Linked DNA regions of Macaca fascicularis. The protein of the gene in region 3 interacts with the protein of the main gene of each other region in a pairwise test. Links are inferred from orthologs where the notes say so. Each region holds a gene or a part of one and is shown on either strand. Other genes may lie near its edges.

Region 1 (4,942 bases), on a different chromosome or scaffold from region 3:
CCATGCCCAACCTTACACTTAACAATTTAAAGAGTATTATTTAACACTTTGTGCAGCCACAACTTCTAATTTTTATCTCAGCATCTGCACTCTGAGATTATATTACACGCCAAACATTAATGAAGCCTCTACTCTGGGCCAGAACTTATCTAGACATTAGGGATAGACCAGATAGCAAAAGCAGTGTTTCTTTGACTTATATATTCTAAAATGGAAGCAGATGATGAGCAAAGTCCTATATACACATATGACATGGTGGCTAGTAGCACAATAAATGTTATGTAGATAAATGAAGCAGAGTAAAGGGTTACAGATTGGTGGCAGAGAACAGGGTGCTCTGATAGGTCCAGTGGTCAGAAAAGTTCTCTCTGAAAGCAGTAGGAGGAGTCAGGCAGCCAACTGGGATGACATCCTTGCAAAGGAGAAGGGATAGAAGGTGCAAAGGCTATGAAGCCAGAACTGCTTGATGGGTGTGAGAATCAGCAAGGAAGACAGTGATGAGAGCACAGCAGAAAATGGGAAGAGGCACAGGATAGAAGGAGGGGCCTTGTAGGCCTTGGCTGCAACTTTGCTCTTTATTCTGAGGTGAAACTACTGGAGGATTTTGAGCAGGGGCGTGAAGGGATCTAACTGTTTTTGTTTGTTTGTTTGTTTGTTTTTGTTTTTTTTTTTTAGAGATGGAGTCTCGCTTGGTAACCAAGGCTGGAGGAGTGCGCTGGCGCTATCTCGGCTCACTGCCACCTCCGCCTCCCGGGTTCAAGCGATTCTCCTGCCTTAGCCTCCTGAGTAGCTGGAACTACAGGCACCTGCCACCACTCCCCGCTAATATTTTGTATTTTTAGTAGAGACAGGGTTTCACCCTGTTAGCCAGGATGATCTCGATCTCCTGACTCGTGATCCGCCCTCCTTGGCCACCCAAAGTGCTAGGATTACAGGCGTGAGCCACCGCGCCCGGCCCTAATTTTTGTTTTAAAGGATTCCTGTGGCTACTCTATGGAGAATATACTATAGGAAGAAAAGAGTGAAAGCTAAGTGATTAGTTGCAGCAGTCTGGGTGAGAAAGGCTGGGGATCAGGGTGGCAGTGGTAGAAATGACAAGTCATGACTGAATTGGCAATATATTTGAAAGCAGAGCCAACAATTCCTGTCGGCTCTAGGATCAGGGATCCGTTTAAAGTAGAAAAACAAAATTATTTAAAAACACAAACATCTTAACAGTTCATTTTTAAGTACAGAATAAAACCCAGTGGCCAAAGGCACTAACAGCAGGACAAGAAATAGAGAATCAAAGATATGTGGGATGCCTGCAATTGATTATTGGATGCTCATTTTGCAAAACTTCTTTATATCCTGCTACTTAGGTTTGTTTTTTTTTGTTTGTTTGTTTTAAGGGAGTATGCCGTATTATTCCCCTACTAAAGAAGTCACTGTTTAAATACTGCCTTTTTCATGAAAGGCAGGAACCCCTGAAGGTCTTCATGATCCTAAAAGGAAGTGTGAGTCCCACAGTGCAGCCAGCAGTGTCAATACTTCTCTGAGTGAGATTTAAACAAGAAAGAAAATGTGTTAATAAAACATCACGCCAAGAGAATCTAGTGGCCACAGACCCACGAAGGAACAACTGAGTTGTGAGAGTTGCCTAGGTAGAAGGGTGGCTAATCCTTTCAGTTTGAACAAATTTGCCTTCTCTGAGACCAAACTCAGCGCTCGCCAGGTCCTCTGCTAACGCAGGCCCCACAACCAGGAGCTAGGGGAGCCTACCCCAGCCTTTAACTGCCCGCCTAGAGACCTACCACAAGCCGGTGGTTCAGCGACCCAGTGCATCCTTTTCCTGGCCACGCCCTCTTTGTCTAAACCCTTCCCATCCCGGCCACGCCCCCACGCAGCCGCGGCCCCCAGTCTGGCCACGCCCCTCCCGCGCCGCGCCGGCGCACCATCCGTCCGAATGGCCTCGTGGGCGGAGCTTGCGTAGCCTCCCGGACCCCGGCGCGCACCGCCCCCCGCCCCCAGCCCCTGGCCATCGAGCGTCTCCGTGGACACGCACTTCCTGCGAGGCCTCCGTGCGCACCTTGGCCGAGCCGAACCGAGCCGAGCCCTGTCCTTCCAGGCTGTTCGCAATGGTGGATGAGCTGGTGCTGCTGCTGCACGCGCTCCTGATGCGGCACCGCGCCCTGACCATCGAGAACAGCCAGCTCATGGAACAGCTGCGGCTGCTGGTGTGCGAGAGGGCCAGCCTGCTGCGCCAGGTACGTCCGCCGAGCTGCCCGGTGCCCTTCCCCGAAACGTTTAATGGCGAGAGCTCCCGGCTCCCCGAGTTTATCGTGCAGACAGCGTCTTACATGCTCGTGAACGAGAACCGATTCTGCAACGACGCCATGAAGGTGGCATTCCTAATCAGTCTCCTCACCGGGGAAGCCGAGGAGTGGGTGGTGCCCTACATCGAGATGGATAGCCCCATCCTAGGTGATTACCGAGCCTTCCTCGATGAGATGAAACAGTGCTTTGGCTGGGATGACGACGAAGACGACGACGACGAGGACGAAGAGGATAATTACTAGGCCCTCGGGCCTCGGGGGGAGGGCCCTGCACGCCGTCACCCCCTCCCCGCAGCCCTCACCCCGCCAGGAGCCACTGCTCTCCCCCTTGCCCTCCGGTCCCCTTCCCTACCCGCGCCCGTCTGCTCTTTCTTCATTTCTCCGTAGTGCTTGTCTTTGTTCCAGGAATAGTGCTCCAGTTACCTGCTGCTGGGGTTGGGGCTGGAGCCTCACTCACTCGGAAGTGCTTGGAAGTGTCATCTACCCTGGCCATCCCGGGGATCCCTCCCCTGCTAATCTGAACTGTGTCCTGAACCCCAGCTATTGGCCAGGCCCCTGTTACAAACTGCGCAGACCACCCATAGCCCTGCTGCTGCCACCTGCCCTGCTGCCAGGCTTACATCTGCCCAGAGAACTATGCTGCCACTTCACATCCACTCACCACATCCCACCTACAGACTACCGCCTTTCGAGATCAGGACCAACCTGGAAAATGCCAGAGTTGGCTCTGCCTCTTCGGACATTGATTTGGACAGCTCACCAACCCCTGAAGAGGCCAATCATTCAGCCTGGTTAGTTTTCTACCTACTCCGAGTGTCCTCCCCTGCCATACCAGATTGCTGCAGGGGCGCGGTGTGCCTGACAGCCAAATTGTTGATATTTCTTTTTTCCTATGCACTGGTTTTACACAGCTGTCATTTTTCTTTCAAAATTGCAGCAGTCCCACAGATGTATGCATTTGGACAAATAGTACTAAAAACAAAACAAACAAGCACTCAGCCCAGCTCCTCAATACTACCTGGAAAAAGCATTGGCATTATTTTCAATAAATATCAAGCACTAAAAAACGAAATGACTGTCTTTTAATAGTTAAGTGCTATCACTGACCTCTAGAACTGTCACTGTGACTACCGTTATTCCCATGGAAATCAGGGAATACAACCAATCCTAGGAATCCCTGCTGTCAACTCCAGGCTGCTGGGGACAGCTACCTCAGGGCTTTGTCAGGGTTCTGATGCTTCCTTCACCAACGCATTTCTTAAAGCCCTGGCAAAGGGTGTGTTCTCTGGGTCCTCCAGGGTGGCATGGGTAAGGGTTGGCTGAGCAGATGGCAAAGAGGGCAGTATTAATAATTAGACCATAACAACAGGCATAAACCAGGACATATATATGTATTGCTCCTAATTCTCTGAGCTTTTGGATTCCTTAATATTGTGCCAGGGAAGTTCTGCCCCTTAATCCTTATTGCCTATATGCAGCTGTTGAGTTCAGGCTCCAGAGAGCCAACATAGTACATTGTCACTTTCAAACTCCAAATAGCCAACATGTCACTTACAGGTGCTCTAGCTAACATTAAGTCCCAGATCCTGGGCAAGTGCATCCATAAAGATATACCCTGATCTTAACAAACATTTCATCCTCCTTGGGCAGACATCCTTAGAATTTCCACTCATAGATGTGTCCCAGATTCCTCCCTATGGAAATTAGCAAGATGCTTGGTTATCTCTTAAATCAGACTTTGTACTGCTATCTGGGGGCTATGCTGAGATCTCTGGGCCTGGAGGGTTCAGAGCAGTGAAGGGGGTGGCTGCTGAGAAGAAACTGCATACCTGTGTGAGGCCATTGCCCCAGGTTAAGTCATTGAAATGTTTAATGCAGAGCAGCTTGGTTGGGGATTTGACAGGACTACCTCTTAGAAAGGTTTAGGAGGATGTGAGGGGTTCAGAGTTCTCATTTATATCTGTCCAGATGTCCTCCCTCATTGTACCATGTCTGGAGCCAACTTCACTTTATAACCTTTAATTAATTTAGATAACACATTTCCTTACTGTTTAAGGCCTTTTGAGGCAAGATATTTCATTTGTACTGGTAAACCTCAGTGTTGATTAAATGAGATATGGGGCTTCATATTAATCACCTGATAGGTGTGGATTATATGAGATCATACCCATGCAGCATTTAGAACTTTCCCTGCTACATGGTGAGCACTCAGTAAACCATGGGCTGTTACTCCTGGGCCTGGGGACAGAATTCTCAGGAAGCAAGTCTCTGGCTCTGAGCGTGGCTTTAGTAGGAAAATGTCAGCGTAAAGAGGAGCAGAGCAGGTTCAGCGATAATGGAAATGAGAGCATGATAAGACCCCATTTACTTTTTGAAGTCTTATATGAAGCAAGAAACAAAGCTGTTTACGTGGTGAACAGGCAAAGTTCAGGGTAGGAATTATATCTCACACCTAGGATAGCTGTTTCTGGAGGGTGGGGACAGGGGTGAGTATGACTTAATAAAAGAGGCCAAGGCTTGGGTGGAAATGAGATCTGGGGCTCTTCGGGGAGCTGCTGCCTCCAAATCTGAATCAAGGAGACACCTGGTTATTTAGAATTCACTGATCACTTCTCCTAGTCTCCTTG
Region 2 (4,605 bases), on a different chromosome or scaffold from region 3:
AATTTTTACACAATTCATTTTAAAATCAGAATTGTGGCAAAGGAGCAAAGAAATACAAGGCCCTATGCAGCCTGCGATAAGGGGACTTGCTCTCTTCTTTCTTCTTCTTGAAGAGGGATCTTTGCCCAGAAGAAAGTCTCTCCTTTATAAAGTCAGTTTCATTCTCCAAAGCCTGAGGGAAAAGGTCTCGCGGTCTTCCCCTGTCCCTCCAAGGAACCTCCCCTGAATACGAGTGGCAGTTAATAAGGAACCCCCGGCCGGGCGCGCTGGCTCACGCCTGTAATTCCAGCACTTTGGGAGGCCGAGGTGGGCGGATCACGAGGTCAGGAGATCGAGACCATCCTGGCTAACACAGTGAAACCCCGTCTCTACTAAAAATGCAAAAAAAAAAAAAAAAATTAGCCGGGGGTGGCGGCGGGCGCCTGTAGTCCCAGCTACTCGGGAGGCTGAGGCAGGAGAACGGCGTGAATCCGGGAGGCAGAGCTTGCAGTGAGCTGAGATCCGGCCACTGCACTCCAGACTCCGCCTCAAAAACTAACTAAATAAATAAATAAGGAACTCCCATCCCTCTCTTCAAGTCGTCTCCCTCCCTCAGGGCCCACAAAGAAGTTGCAAACGGGTTTTGTCCTCTCCTGAAGAAGTGGAAGTTCTTTTCTTCTAAGGAAGTGGCAGATCTTCCCTTCGGTGTCTTCTCCAAGGGGTCTCCCACTTTTTCCCTTCTGTGACAGCCCTTCCTTCATATCCTTCAGGGACCCCACACTCTGAAGATAGCCTTTACATCCCTAATCCCCTTTGGGAAAACCCCCTGGGGCCCAGGTACTCACAGATCTAGCCAATCCCCGAGCCCCAGGCCGCCACAGCAGCAAGAGGGCAGCCTGGCTCAGGCCTCGGTTTGGCCGCCAGACCCTCGCTGCAGCGATCGCTACCGCCATCTTGGCTAGCAACCACTCAGCGGTAGGGCACTCACGTAGGCTAGATTCGGGGCTGCCCCTTTATGTGCCTGACACAAACTCCAGCACCATCTGACAAGAAAATCACCTTCTTCCCATTCTGTTGTAGATAGAATGCACAGAGATTTGGAGAAGAAAACCTATCTACCCAAAATTTTCCCCAGTCGCCTCATTGTAGTTACTCCTGTAACAGGCAAAGAAGAGGGCAACCTGACCACGGCCTCAGGGATTTAGGGCCCGGGGGCCCAGAGTAAAACAGGTCACTGCCAAGGCCTGCCTCCTGTTCTCAACTGTCCAATGGCGTTGCCAGAGTTAGGAGGTGGGACTGGGCGGAGCCAGATTGTTGGTAAACGCTAAGCCACGTGCGGACGCCAGGACTGACGGCCGAGCCCAGCGCGTGCGCAATGGTTACGCAGAGTGTTCGCAGCGCGCGCTGCCGGGCGGAAGTGATAATCGCAGCCGCACGTGGGGTCGGCGCGATGGAGGAGGAGATGCATACTGACGCCAAAATCCGCGCTGAAATTGGAACAGGGTGCAGCCCTCGGGGTCCCGGCTGCAGCCTCCGGCACTTTGCCTGCGAACAGAACCTGCTGTCGCGGCCAGATGGCTCTGCTTCCTTCCTGCAAGGTAAGAACTTACCCAGGTCTTTTGGAGAGGGACTACCATGTACCGTGCAACGGAGTGCCCATCTCCCCATGATACCAGCTGGTAAATGTCACTCCTGCGTTGATACATGATTTCTTGTCCGATTGAATACTACTACATACGCAGGGATACATACATCTCTCCCTCACGACTAGAAAGGAGAAGATAGCTCCATCTTTGTAAATATGTCTGAGAATGACAGGCGGGGCAGACCGTCCCCGCAAGAATTGATATTTCAGAATAGGGAAAATCACCTCACCAGGGTAAATATCGCCCTTAACTAGGTTCCTCCTCCTCACCCCCGCCCCCGCCCGCCCCACACACACGCCCGCTAGGTCCTTGCATCCCGGACTGACGCAAACCTGTCAATTTGCATACTCTGGACTGTGGCGGATCTTTCACCCACGTAAATACTCCTCAAATTGAAGATAATGTCACTGCCCTGGGTTGAAAAATACATCCCCACCGCTACCTCACTGCATCTCTCCACAGGAGTAAATATCCCTAAGATTAGGGCAAGTCTTACCTATAGGGCAAATATCCCCTTCCCCTAGCTAAATAACTCTCAGAACCAGATTAACTCCAAGAATATTTCTCTTTAACGTTTGAGACAGGAGGCTGGGCACAGTGGCTCACGCCTGTAATCCCCACACTTTGGGAGGCCAAGGCGGGTGGATCACCTGAGGTCAGGAGTTCGAGACCAGCCTGGCCAACATGGCGAAACCCCGACTCTACTAAAAGTACAAAAATTAGCCAGGCATGGTGGTGGGCGCCTGTAATCCCAGCTACTGGGGAGGCTGAGGCAGGAGAATCTCTTGAACCCAGGAGGCAGAAGTTGCAGTGAGCCAAGATTGTGCCATTGTACTCCAGTGTGCACGACAAAACAAGATTCTGTCTCAAAAAAAAAAAAAAAAATTTTGAGACAGGGTCTCACGATGTTGCCCAGGTTGGTCTTGAACTCCTGGACTCAAGCAGTCCTCCTCCCAAAGTGCTCATATAGGTACCAGCCACCACGCCCAGCCCCAATACATTTTAACAAAATCTGGCTGCTGTGTTGATTGTGGGGAGTATGGGGGAAAACAGGGAGGTGATGGTGGCTCCAGCCAGAACAGGAGTAGTGGAGGTGATGAGATTCTGGATGTAGTTTGAAAGTAAAACGGACAAAACTTACCTATAGTTTGGTTTGAGTGCGAGGAAAAAGAGTCAGGCATAACTAAGGTTTCTGCCCAGATCTGTACAAGTCTGGAAATCAGGAGAGAGACCCAAGCTGGACATAGGCAATTTGGAACTCTCTGGCTGTATATATGGTATTTCAGCCTATTGACTGAACGAAGTCAGTGTAGATGGAAAAGAGGTCCCAGGACCAAGCCCTAGGCCTTCCAACTTGAGCAGTCAGGGACTTGTGACAAGCAAGCTAAAGGAGACTCAGAAGGAACGCCCAGAGACTTAGGGGGAAACCGGGAGAGGGTGGTGACCTGGGGCCAAGAGAAGAGCGTGTCTGAGATGTGAGGGCTGACAGCTGTTTCGGCCTTACTGACAGCCGGGTCAATGGAGGGTTGATCATTTGGAGGTCAGTGGTGACGATGTTGAGCTGCCGCAGTGGAGTGGTGGGGTCACAGGAAAGGAAGAATAGACAGCTGTTCAGGAGTTTTGCTGTAAGAGGATCAGATAAGTGGGGCAGGAATTGAAGATGGTTGTGGGGTCAACAGGGGAGAGAATTGCTGGAGCCACGTCTTGAAGAAGGTGAGAGGGGAGGGACTCTTGTGCTCAGGTGAAACACAGGCAGTTCATCTGGAGCCAGAGGCGAGTTCTATTTTGGTTTCTCCAGTCCTCAGGGCAGTTTTTCCTGGAACTAAGCACACCTTCCGTGTAAGGGCAAATTGGGCATCCCAGGAAATACCGCCTTAACCAGGGACCTTCCCGGACCCTCCCTCAGGCTTAGCACTTATGCTGAATTGAGATACCTCAAGTTTCTTCGAACCTAAGAATTAAGAAGGGGCCGGGCGCAGTTGCTCACATGGGTTGCTCACACCGGTAATCCAAGCACCTTGGGAGGCCGATGAGGGTAGATCACCTGAGGTCAGTAATTCTTTTTTTTTTTTTGACACAGAGTCTCGCCCTGTCACCCAGGCTAGAGTGCAGTGAAGCGATCGTGGCTCACTGCAACCTCCACCTCCCAGGTTCCAGCGATTCTTCTGCCTCAGCCTCCCGAGTAGCCAGGACCACAGGCGTGTGCTCCCACGCCCAGCTAATTTTTGTAGTTTTTAGTAGAGACGGGGTTTCACCATGTTGGCCAGACTGATCTTGAACTCCTGACCTCGTGATCCACCCGCCTCGGCCTCCCAAATTGCTGGGATTACAGGCGTGAGCCACCTCGCCCAGTCGAGGTCAGGAGTTCTGAGACCAGCCTAGCCAACATGGTGAAAACCCGTCTCTACTAAAAATACAAAAATTAGTCGGACGAGGTGGCACGCACCTATAATCTCAGCTACTCTGGAGGCTGAGGCACGAGAATCACTTGAGCCTGGGAGGCGGAGGTTGCAGTGAGCTGAGATTGCACAACTGCACTCCAGCCTCCTGGGTGACAGAGGGAAACTTTGTCTCAAAAAAGAAAATAGAGACAGGAGTCTTGCTATGTTGCTCAGGCAGGTCTCAAACTCCTGGCCTCGAGCAGTCCTCCCACCTGGGCCTCCAGAGTGCTGGGATTACAGGTGTGAGGCACCATGTCTGGCCTCAAATGTTTTGGTTTTTTTTTTTTTTTTTTTTTTTTTTTTTTTTTTTTTTTTTTTTTTTTGAGACGGAGTCTCGCTGTTATTGTCCAGGCTGGAGTGGAATGGTGCCATCTCGGCTCACTGCAACCTCCGCCTCCCCGGTTCCAGCAATTCTGCCTCGGCCTCCCGAGTAGCTGAGATTACAGGCACCCACCACCATGCCCAGCCAATTTTTGTATTTTTAGTAGAGATGGGGTTTCACCATGTTGGCCAGGATGGTCTCAAACTCCTGACCGCAG
Region 3 (4,149 bases):
GGTATACTATTATTGGGCTTCTTTGAATGCCCCATTTTATAGCTTTTCCTAGGAGGCATCAATTAGTATTTCTTGAATGACTGCATAAATGACAAGGGAAACTGACATACACATATTGCTGCTTAGTGCCATTTCTGTCCCACACAGAATTTTCTTTGGGGATTTAAATTATGGTCAGAAAAGTAATTTAGGCAGTCCTGTAGTTTTTGTGGTGGTGGTTGTTTGATTTGATAACCAGTGACCTTCTCTGTGGCAGTGAAACAGGGTTGTGACAGTTGGCCACAGTACCCTCCTCCCACCCACAGGGCTGATGAATACATGCATTGTGATTTTAATACTCCCCTCTTTTTTAATTAGCTTCTATTAGTTGTAGTATTAACTATTTTTGGCCTAGCTTCTTTAGTAAGAAAAGTTATTATTTTGGCTTTAATTTGCATAATTGATTTGGTATCTATGTTTGCCTTGAAGTTTCTTCCTCTGTTTCAATACAAAACTACTTGTTTAGAGGGTTTCAACATTCTTTTATAGTTTATAAAGGTAAGCATGCTGTTGATGATGTATTGTTGAATCATAATGAACAGGTGGCCTTTGAGGAAGACAAGGTCATTTGAACATCAAAAAGTAGTTTCCTTTTTGTTATCTATGGTACTGATTGATACTTTTCTCTTGAAAGTTTGTTTTCTTTGTTCGCTAATTATTAAAGTAAGTGCATAGAGCAAGGGATAATTTAAACACTAAATCCTTTGTGTCTGCATTTTGCTGCTTTGAATCTATAAGTTGGATTTATACATTTATCTTTATTTACAGAAATAAGCGGATTTTGAAAACAAAAAAAAGAAGGAGTGGAAGAGGGGGCCAGGATCCAGGCCTCCATCCCCACAGAAGTGAAGCTACAGCTGGGAGGTCTCCTCCCACCCCAACCGTCACCCTGGGTCCCGACTGCCCACCTCCTCCCCCTCCCCCTCCCCCCAACAACAACAACAACAACAACTCCAAGCACACCGGCCATAAGAGCGCGTGTGTCCCCAACATGACCGAACGAAGAAGGGATGAGCTCTCTGAAGAGATCAACAACCTAAGAGAGAAGGTCATTAAGCAGTCCGAGGAGAACAGCAACCTGCAGAACCAGGTGCAGAAGCTCACAGAGGAGAACACCACCCTTCGAGAGCAAGTGGAACCCACCCCTGAGGATGATGATGATGACATCGAGCTCCGCGGTGCTGCAGCAGCTGCTGCCCCACCCCCTCCAATAGAGGAAGAGTGCCCAGAAGACCTTCCAGAGAAGTTCGATGGCAACCCAGACATGCTGGCTCCTTTCATGGCCCAGTGCCAGATCTTCATGGAAAAGAGCACCAGAGATTTCTCAGTTGATCGTGTCCGTGTCTGTTTCGTGACAAGCATGATGACCGGCCGTGCTGCCCGCTGGGCCTCAGCAAAGCTGGAGCGCTCCCACTACCTGATGCACAACTACCCAGCTTTCATGATGGAAATGAAGCATGTCTTTGAAGACCCTCAGAGGCGAGAGGCTGCCAAACGCAAGATCAGACGCCTGCGCCAAGGCATGGGGTCTGTCATCGACTATTCCAATGCTTTCCAGATGATTGCCCAGGACCTGGATTGGAACGAGCCTGCGCTGATTGACCAGTACCACGAGGGCCTCAGCGACCACATTCAGGAGGAGCTCTCCCACCTCGAGGTCGCCAAGTCGCTGTCTGCTCTGATTGGGCAGTGCATTCACATTGAGAGAAGGCTGGCCAGGGCTGCTGCAGCTCGCAAGCCACGCTCACCACCCCGGGCGCTGGTGTTGCCTCACGTTGCAAGCCACCACCAGGTAGATCCAACCGAGCCGGTGGGAGGTGCCCGCATGCGCCTGACCCAGGAGGAAAAAGAAAGACGCAGAAAGCTGAACCTGTGCCTCTACTGTGGAACAGGAGGTCACTACGCTGACAACTGTCCTGCCAAGGCCTCGAAGTCTTCGCCGGCGGGAAACTCCCCGGCCCCGCTGTAGAGGGACCTTCAGCGACCGGGCCAGAAATAATAAGGTCCCCACAAGATGACGCCTCATCTCCACACTTGCAAGTGATGCTCCAGATTCATCTTCCGGGCAGACACACCCTGTTCGTCCGAGCCATGATCGATTCTGGTGCTTCTGGCAACTTCATTGATCACGAATACGTTGCTCAAAATGGAATTCCTCTAAGAATCAAGGACTGGCCAATACTTGTGGAAGCAATTGATGGGCGCCCCATAGCATCGGGCCCAGTTGTCCACGAAACTCACGACCTGATAGTTGACCTGGGAGATCACCGTGAAGTGCTGTCATTTGATGTGACTCAGTCTCCATTCTTCCCTGTCGTCCTAGGGGTTCGCTGGCTGAGCACACATGATCCCAACATCACATGGAGCACTCGATCTATTGTCTTTGATTCTGAATACTGCCGCTACCACTGCCGGATGTATTCTCCAATACCACCATCGCTCCCACCGCCAGCACAACAACCGCCACTCTATTATCCAGTAGATGGATACAGAGTTTACCAACCAGTGAGATATTACTATGTCCAGAATGTGTACACTCCAGTAGATGAGCACGTCTACCCAGATCACCGCCTGGTTGACCCTCACATAGAAATGATACCTGGAGCACACAGTATTCCCAGCGGACATGTGTACTCACTGTCTGAACCTGAAATGGCAGCTCTTCGAGATTTTGTGGCAAGAAATGTGAAAGATGGGCTGATTACTCCAACGATCGCACCTAATGGAGCCCAAGTTCTCCAGGTGAAGAGGGGGTGGAAACTGCAAGTTTCTTACGATTGCCGAGCTCCAAACAATTTTACTATCCAGAATCAGTATCCTCGCCTATCTATTCCAAATTTAGAAGACCAAGCGCACCTGGCAACGTACACTGAATTCGTACCTCAAATACCTGGATACCAAACGTACCCCACATATGCCGCATACCCGACCTACCCAGTAGGATTCGCCTGGTACCCAGTGGGAAGAGACGGACAAGGAAGATCACTATATGTACCTGTTATGATCACTTGGAATCCACACTGGTACCGCCAGCCTCCGGTACCACAGTACCCGCCGCCACAGCCGCCGCCTCCACCACCGCCGCCGCCGCCGCCTCCATCTTACAGTACCCTGTAAATACTTGTCATGTCCTTCAGGATCTCTGCCCTCAAAATTTATTCCTGTTCAGCTTCTCAATCAGTGACTGTGTGCTAAGTTTTAGGCTACTGTATCTTCAGGCCACCTGAGGCACATCCTCTCTGAAACGGCTGTAGAAGGTCAGGGCCACCCTGGACTGGCACACATCCTAAAGCACCAAAAGACCTTCAACATTTTCTGAGAGCAACAGAGTATTTGCCAATAAATTAGCTCTCATTTTTCCACCTTGACTGCCAATCTAACTAAAATAATTAGTAAGTTTACTTTCCAGCCAGTCCTGGAAGTCTGGGTTTTACCTGCCAAAACCTCTGTCACCATCTAAATTATAGGCTGCCAAATTTGTTCTTTAACATTTACAGAGAAGCTGATACAAATGCAGGAAATGCTGATTTCTTTATGGAGGGGGAGACAAAGAGGAGGAGGAGGACATGACTTTTCTTGCAGTTTCGGTACCCTCTTTAAATCACTGGAGGACCGAGGCCTTATTAAGGAAGCCAAAATTATCGGTGCAGTATGGAAAGGCTTCCGTGATCCTCTCGCTGCACCCTTAGAAACTTCACCGTCTTCAAACTCCATTTCTGTGGTTCTGTTAATTCTCAAGGAGCAGCAACTTGACTGGTTCTCCCAGGAGCAGGCAAAACCCTTGTAACATGAAACATCTCAGGCTTGAAAAGAAAGTGCTCTCTCAGATGGACTCTTGCATGTTAAGAGTGTGCCTTCACATCGTGGTGCAAATCACATGTACCCAGGACTCCGGCTTTGACATAACACCTTACCATCATCATGCCATAATGGCGTCCACGAAGCATTAAACCTGGTAACCAGAGATTACTGGTGGCTCCAGGGGTGTTAGATGTTCATGAAATGTGACCACATCTCAATTACCTTCGAGGGCTAAAGAATAGCAGATCAAAAGGACTCCAAAATCCCGTACCCAACTCTTAAAAGATTTGTCCTGGTACTTCAGAAAGA
Region 4 (3,538 bases), on a different chromosome or scaffold from region 3:
CAAGTGCAGGTTGTTAACATAGTTAAACTTGTGTCATAGGAGTTTGTTGTACAGATTATTTCATCACCCAGGTATTAAGCTTATTAGCCGTTAGTTATTTTTCCTGATCCTCTGCCTCCTCCCACCCTCAACCCTCTAATAGGCCTCAGTGTGTGTTGTTTCCCTCTATGTGTCTTGTTCTTGATCTAAGAGTGAAAAGCATTCAGGCTTTCACCTTCCAGTATGACAGCTGTAGGATTTTTGTAGATGCTCTTCATCAGATTTAGGAGTTCCCTTTTAAGTTTGATGAGAGTTTTTAATGGGAACCATATGACATAAATCTTTGCTCTAGGAATTTGCTCTAGAAAAATGAAAATCTGTGCTCACACAAAAATCTGTACGTAAATGCTTATAGCTGATTCATTTGTAATTTCCAAAACCTGTAAATGTGCCAAATATCTTCCAACAAATGAATGGATCACCAAATTTGTATATCCATGCTATGGCAGACAGATTCTAAGGTGGCCCCCAACATCCCAATATCCTGGTCATACCTTTCAGTGTAGGTGGGGACTATGGCTTGCTTCTAACCAAGAGAATGTGGCAAAGGTGATGAACTCCCATGATTATGTTAGTTTATACATGACTCCATCTTTCAAGGAGAAACATTCTCCCTTTGTTCCATGAAGAAACAAGCTGCAGTGTAGTGAACTGCCTAGAGACAGGGCAACGTGACAGAGAACTGAGGGCAGCTTTTATAACAAATTAAGAGATTTCTTAATATTTAACTCTCCTTACATTAACTGCTTGTGGTATATTATTCTTTTTAAAAATTTATTTTCTAATTTTTGTGGGTACATGATAGGTATATGTATTTATGGGGTACGTGAAATGCTTTAATATAGGTATACAATGCATAATAATCACATAATGGTAAATGGGGCATCCATCCCCTCAAGCACTTATCCTTTGTGCTACAAACAATCCAATTACACTCTTTCAGTTATTTTTAAATGTACAATTAAATTATTTTGACTGTAGTCATCCTGTTGTGCTATCAAATACTAGGTCCTAATAATCACATCATGGAGAATGGAGTATCCATCCCTCAAGCGTGGTGCATTACTCTTTGAACATGCTGCTCTGGATTATATTTGCTAATATGTGGGGCTTCTCTATTAATGTTGCAAAGTAGGGAGCCAATAATCTGGTTGAGAGACGCAAGAAGGAGCAGGAAAATGTGTTCACAGAACCTCATACTAGTGGCGTCCAGGGTCAAGGCTCCCCGAATGCATACCCAAGGGCTGATGAGAGGTGGGGACCAGTGCAGCGGGAGGACTCCTCAACTACCAGAACTAGGTAGGGCCCCTAACATACCCTTGGAGCGAGCTCCTCGCGCCCCGTACACCACCAGGTCTCCCTGGTTCCTCCCCTGCTCCCCGTCCCGCCACCTTAGGAACCCTCAGCCCAGCCTCTCCGATAGGACCCTGCCTCCTTGAGGGCTTTAGGCCCTTCTTCGCAAGTGTGTTCCCCACGACGCGCCTGCGTACTAGGGAACACCCGGCCTTGTGGGCGGAGTCCATGAGAGGGCTGGAGCCCCGCTCGTGGCCCCGCCCACCCTAGCTTGGGCAGGCCTTCGTGGACACGCATTTCCGGCGACGCCTCGGTACTGACCTCTGCAGAGCCGGGTGGAGCCCATTGACGTCCAGCGAAGCGAAGAGCAGCGATGGACGGTCGGGTGCAGCTGATAAAGGCCCTCCTGGCCTTGCCGATCCGACCTGCGACGCGTCGCTGGAGGAACCCGATTCCCTTTCCCGAGACGTTTGATGGCGATACCGACCGGCTCCCGGAGTTCATCGTGCAGACGGGCTCCTACATGTTCGTGGACGAGAACACATTCTCCAGCGACGCCCTGAAGGTGACGTTCCTCATCACCCGCCTCACGGGGCCCGCCCTGCAGTGGGTGATCCCCTACATCAAGAAGGAGAGCCCCCTCCTCAATGATTACCGGGGCTTCCTGGCCGAGATGAAGCGGGTCTTTGGATGGGAGGAGGACGAGGACTTTTAGGCCGGGAGACCCTCGAGCCTGGGGGCGGGTGCTCTGGGGAGGGTCCGCTGTGCTACTGGCCGCCGCCAGGGTCGCCACAGGCGCCCTCCCTCCGCACCTCCCTCCCCCTCGAGCCGCCGCGATGTCCCCTGAGCTCCTGTCCCCTCCCGCGTAGTGCTTGCCTTTGTTCCAGGAATAGCGTTCCAGGCTCCTGCTGCCGCCCCTGGGCCTCACTCTGGAGCGAGCCGCCGCCCTCTCCTTCCAGCCAGCCAGCCCCTCCCATGCACATTTGGACGCTGTCCTGCGCTCCAGCTGCAAGCTGGGCTCCTGTTACACACTGGACAGACCACCCACTGCCGCCGCTGCCAAGCCCCCTCCTCCCCACCAGACTGCCAGACGACTACATCATTCTGCCCACAGACCTGCGCTGCCACTGCCATCGCCATCCATCGCATCCCACTGACAGACTGCTGCTCCTAGTGATCTGGACTCACCTCGGAGGTATCTGGGCTGGCCACAGTCCTTGGACAGTGATCCAGACAGCTGGCCCCCCAAGGGATCTGTCACCTTCAGCGAGACCTATTTCCTCCCCACCCCCAGAAACCTCTTGTGTTCCAGCCTAGACCCAGGTGTGCCTGGCAGCCAAATCGAGTCTCTCATTTTCTCTTGTGGACCAGTTAGTTTTGCCTATAACCCAGTTTTCTGAGTTTGCAACTGTCTCTCTGATGTGTGCCTTTTGTTCAACACAGTAACCCCTGCATTCTGCTCTGCTCTAATACACTACCTGGAGAAAGTCTTTTCCTTATTTTCAATAAATGTCAGACATTATTGAAAAGAAATGGTCTCAGTCAATATGGCACTTTTCCCTCCCTGGTTCTGTAAATGGGGTCCATATCTTGTTCAAAAACTATATGTCCTGCCACGCTATGGTTGATGTTGACACAGAGTCCTGTGGTGTCCTGCAAATGGAGATCCCACCGGTGACTAATCCCAGACGATTAATGTTGTAAACAAGTCAAGTTTTGTGCCCCTTAGGAAATGAACCTTAATCTGACTGTGGCCAAGATAAGATAAGGAATAGTCAGATAGGGTGCTTTTTCTTCCCTCTTTTCCAAAAAACTGTCTGAAAGCATATACCCCAAATGGTTACAAGCCATGCATCTCACACATTTGTTGGTGAACAATTCTTACAGTTTTATTTAATGCATTATCAGGGAACCAGCAAAATGGCTTAGATACTTCAGAAAAAGCATTTACATTTATATTGCTTTAATTGGGTAGGTGGTGGAGAAAGGAATGCAGAACTGTAGTTAATTTAGGTACAAACTTGTTTAATGAATGACCTGAAACACAATACAATTACCACCTTCCCTAATGGGCAGAAAAAAAAAAAATTCTCTTCAACGTATCTCTGCATGCGAATCTTTGAAATCTACTGTGCTAACATGCCTCTGCCACCCCATCTATCTCTGGGAAAAGCTCAATATCCCAACAGAAGCAGATTATCCTAAG
Region 5 (4,149 bases), on a different chromosome or scaffold from region 3:
GACCAGGGAAGCCCCAGGCTGGTAACACCATTAGAGAAGCAGGAAATCATAGCAGCAGCAGCCAGCACCACACACCACCACCGTATTACAGCAGACCAAGCTCACATAAGGTGAGGATTTTTTTTTTATGCCACCATCAAAGGATCATCGTTACAAGCTGGCAAGATTTCAATGAAGGTTTTTTGTGTGTCAGTCATACCTCAATAAAGTAGTTTTTTAAAAAAAGATTCAAATGAGGGTTGTTATTCTGTTGAAAAATATAGTTGTTTGGAATGTGAAATGTATATGTTTTGCTACCTTGGAGAGTGACTGCGTTGTTCCTTAGAACTAGAGATAGTTGCTTGGAGGGGAAGTTTCCTTTGCCAGGTGATAAACGAGAAGCATGAAATCTTCTACTTGTTTAATCCTACTTGAAAGTGGAATTTATCTTGGGTTGCTTATTTAAATGTAAGAGTTAGTTATTGAAAAAACATAATGAAGACAAGATTGATAAATGTATACTTGGTAATTGAGCCTGTTGCCTACAGAACCAGAATTAGATACGTGAAGATTAAACATATGAATCATGAATTTTGATAGGTACATATATAGCATATTTACATATTTGATAGGTACATATATAGCATATTTCTTTTTATGTTAAAGCTTAGAGGAATATTACCCTAAATCTTTTAAAATTCCCATATGTTAAGCTTTGTTACTGTTTCTTCAGAATCAGTATTTCCCTGGTTTTATAATGTATTCTACGTCAGCTGAGAATTTTGATGCTACCTCACTTTCAATCCAGAAATCTAAAAGGATGGTACTTTAGCATTCTTGGTATAATTTACTTCATTTGATCCTTCATTTGAACTCTTAACTTCCAGTGGGCCAGGAGTTTTAAAACAATGATGCGAATGATGCTTACCCAATTATGTGAAAATAAAAGCTAAATGTGAGCTACCAGAGTAATTCTCCTTAAGTAAAATTAAATTGCTTTACTAAGCAAAAACTTTTTTATTGTCACCTGAAAGTACAACATTTGAGTGAGTAATTAGCTTTGGAGTCCGTCTCTGGTACCCTAAGAAAGCATAGCTTAAAGACAGTATTTTTGGCCCATCAGGTTTATATGGTTTTCTTTTTTTTTTTTTTTTTTTTTTTGAGACGGAGTCTCGCTCTGTCACCCAGGCTGGAGTGCAGTGGCCGGATCTCACCTCACTGCAAGGTCTGCCTCCCGGGTTTACGCCATTCTCCTGGCTCAGCCTCCAAGTAGCTGGGACTACAGGCGCCCGCCACCACGCCCGGCTAGTTTTTTGTATTTTTTAGTAGAGACGGGTTTCACCATGTTAGCCAGGATGGTCTCGATCTCCTGACCTTGTGATCTACCCGTCTCAGCCTCCCAAAGTGCTGGGATTACAGGCTTGAGCCACCGCATCCGGCCAGGTTTATATGGTTTTCTGAGCTTAAGTTCTATACAGACTTGTCACTGGTCTTTGGTTTAGTTAATACTTAAAAGAAATTATAATCACAGACTTCATTCTCATTTCTGAGCAAAACTCAAAATGTATGAAGGAAACCTGTAATTTGCCTTTAAATAATGACTGTGGAAATGGAGTAATTGTTTTAAATAGGAATTTTTGAATAGGCATTGTTTCATATACCTAGTCCTTGTTTTATAAGTTTTGTGTACATATAAAACTATAATATGAGGTACAAGTTGGTAATTGAATCTTTTATGTTATTGAATTTTATAATTTGAGATATGGGTATATATAACAATATTACAGTTTTAAGAGAGTTTGAAAAACTGTAATTAATAATTCCAGTATTCATATAGCAAACTGTCCTTAATTCAGTTTGTTTTGGGCACATGTATTTTTCTGTTATAACTAGGCTAATTCTGATTCTCTTTAATTTTATATGACGATGTTCTAAATAGTGATGCTGAACTTAATCTGTTCTAGGCACTCTGCAAACCTGGCTGGTTAGAAAAACCACTTGAAATGGAATGTGTTTATTTAGCTATTTACTACTAACATGCTCTGCTTGTTATGTCAAATCCTGATACAGCATAGTAAAAGTCTCCTAGGGAGAAAACATGCAAATTCACCAGAACAATCTTTTCAGACAATTATAAGCATTCTGAAAAAAATATAGTATATATGTTAGTCTACTACAAAGCTTCCCAGTAGCTGTTTTGATAAACATTCATGTAGTTTTAGGAAGTTCCTTGAAGCATACTGAGTATAATCTTTGAAGTTTGGTTTGGTTCCTGGGTAAAAATTGCATACATTTCAGACACTTAGAGTAATAAAACACCCACACTTAACTGCTTAAATATGTAAGAACTGAACCTGCTTAAATAAATATACTCAAGGTTGAGTTTACCTGAGTTGTCTTCAGAATAAAGTTGTGTTTGTCTAATTTTGAAGGCTGCTGACAAAAATGTCATACCTTTGGATAGGAGACTGCCTTAAAATGTTTACAAATTTTCTCCTTGGTCATAACATTTTCTGGGAATACTGTGCTGCTATTACAGATAGCTCCTTTGGTAAAATTTCAAGAGTATAATTTCACATCTGGAGAAGGGTAGATAGGCCTAGAATTCCAGGCCCTGATTTAGAGATTTGATAAACGCCGTTATTAACAGTTAAATACATGTCAATTCTCTAAACTAATGTGACTTAAGGAAATGTTATAATTCTGTAAATATAATTTGTATTTTTTATTTTTTATATTAACGGTGTTAATTACAACATTCTCTTAACAGTTAATAAGTGTTAAAACCTTCTGAGACATTATCTTGCACTGTACACTTAATGGGATAGTTCTTGTGTGGGTGCATATATACAATATGTACATGTAGTCTATCACACTATATAGACATATACAAAATACTATTTATATTAATATATATCGTACATACTTTTAACACACGTAAGTTTTGAATCCCAGGACGGTTGCCTATATTAACATGATTCAGGACAAGTTACATGACCTCCCTAAGTTTGTTTCATCTTTTGTCAAATGGGGTCAATAATAATATATAATTTCAGGACTTTTGTGAAGTTTAAAGGAAATAATGCATGTAAAGGCATTAGCTTTTCACAGGCTAAGCCCAAATGTTAATTATTATTTTAATATTGCGTATGTACATCTTATTTTTTACTGAGTTCTAATTCAAAAGAAAAGTGATGTTTTAAATTCTTTTTCTTCCAGGAGCATCTCAATAATAAACAGTAGTAACAAATGTCAGTAAAAATGGAAGAATATTAATTTGTTGGGAATTTATTTCCCTGTCATTAACTTTTTCAAAAATTCAGTCATTTTGTATCCCTTTAGCTTTTCATGAAGATTTTGGAGGTAGATTTGCAACTTCTTCATGATTTGAGCACTCATAGTCCTAGTCAGTGAGAATCAGGAGATAGGTCGATGGCCTTTTTCTGGCAGTTGCCAAAATCTGTACTTTCGTGCTACTCTGTCAACTTGTCTTTCAAAGAAATGGGAGAAAGATGGAAGTAAAATTAATTGATTTGTCTTCAGAATCTTAAAACTCAAAAGCATCATTTACTTTAGTGCAGCTGATCAAAGATGAAGCTCAAACAAATTATACAAATGATGTGCTTATTTTACTTTGACTGCCAGATTTCAGCAGTCCTGAGTTTTTTCAGGTACATAAACAGTCATATGAAAATAACATAGTCCAAAATTTGACATTGATCCACAGTAGACTTATTAAGAACTGTATATTACTTTCATTTGCAATTAAGGAATAAAAAATAATTACTGTATAAATGCCATGTATGTTATTACCTTAGTTTGAAGTAATAACTTCACTTCAACTATATTTTATTCATTATCCAATGATTTTTTTCTTGTGTGTTTTAGGATCTTACTCAGTGTGTTACATGCCAAGAAAAACACATTACTGTAAAGAAGGAACCACATGAGTCCCTTGGCATGACCGTTGCTGGGGGCAGGGGAAGTAAGAGTGGTGAGCTGCCCATCTTTGTGACCAGTGTGCCGCCCCATGGCTGCCTTGCACGAGATGGCAGAATAAAGAGAGGTAAGATGGGATCTTTAAAAATGTTACCACATCTTATTTCTGAATTAAATGCACATTTAAAAAAATAAAGAGCATCTACAAAGTATCTATTAAACATGACTTTT

Evidence for each region.
Region 1: the proteins of PEG10 (region 3) and LDOC1 interact in binary tests that used the Homo sapiens proteins (3 or more experiments, as listed by UniProt). The two-hybrid records come from large-scale screens. The link is inferred for Macaca fascicularis from reciprocal best matches to the Homo sapiens genes PEG10 and LDOC1.
Region 2: the proteins of PEG10 (region 3) and EXOSC5 interact in binary tests that used the Homo sapiens proteins (3 or more experiments, as listed by UniProt). The link is inferred for Macaca fascicularis from reciprocal best matches to the Homo sapiens genes PEG10 and EXOSC5.
Region 4: the proteins of PEG10 (region 3) and retrotransposon Gag-like protein 8C interact in binary tests that used the Homo sapiens proteins (3 or more experiments, as listed by UniProt). The two-hybrid records come from large-scale screens. The link is inferred for Macaca fascicularis from reciprocal best matches to the Homo sapiens genes PEG10 and RTL8C.
Region 5: the proteins of PEG10 (region 3) and LNX2 interact in binary tests that used the Homo sapiens proteins (3 or more experiments, as listed by UniProt). The link is inferred for Macaca fascicularis from reciprocal best matches to the Homo sapiens genes PEG10 and LNX2.

Annotation. Positions count from the first base shown.
Region 1 is NC_088395.1:147,494,368-147,499,309, forward strand, and holds the start of LDOC1 (protein LDOC1), read left to right. Parts: upstream 1-2,008; 5' UTR 2,009-2,117; coding exon 2,118-2,558; 3' UTR 2,559-4,942. UniProt on the Homo sapiens protein: May have an important role in the development and/or progression of some cancers.
Region 2 is NC_088393.1:48,537,543-48,542,147, reverse strand, and holds the start of EXOSC5 (exosome complex component RRP46), read left to right. Parts: upstream 1-1,364; 5' UTR 1,365-1,429; coding exon 1,430-1,577; intron 1,578-4,605. Other genes in the region: BCKDHA (2-oxoisovalerate dehydrogenase subunit alpha, mitochondrial), read right to left, coding at 825-932. UniProt on the Homo sapiens protein: Non-catalytic component of the RNA exosome complex which has 3'->5' exoribonuclease activity and participates in a multitude of cellular RNA processing and degradation events.
Region 3 is NC_088377.1:126,682,784-126,686,932, reverse strand, and holds part of PEG10 (retrotransposon-derived protein PEG10), read left to right. Parts: intron 1-807; coding exon 808-2,008; coding exon of another isoform or gene 2,009-3,156; 3' UTR 3,157-4,149.
Region 4 is NC_088395.1:141,360,537-141,364,074, forward strand, and holds retrotransposon Gag-like protein 8C, read left to right. Parts: upstream 1-1,676; 5' UTR 1,677-1,705; coding exon 1,706-2,047; coding exon of another isoform or gene 2,048-2,649; 3' UTR 2,650-2,865; downstream 2,866-3,538. Other genes in the region: CAAX box protein 1, read left to right, coding at 2,023-2,649.
Region 5 is NC_088391.1:7,534,427-7,538,575, reverse strand, and holds part of LNX2 (ligand of Numb protein X 2), read left to right. Parts: coding exon 1-110; intron 111-3,867; coding exon 3,868-4,045; intron 4,046-4,149.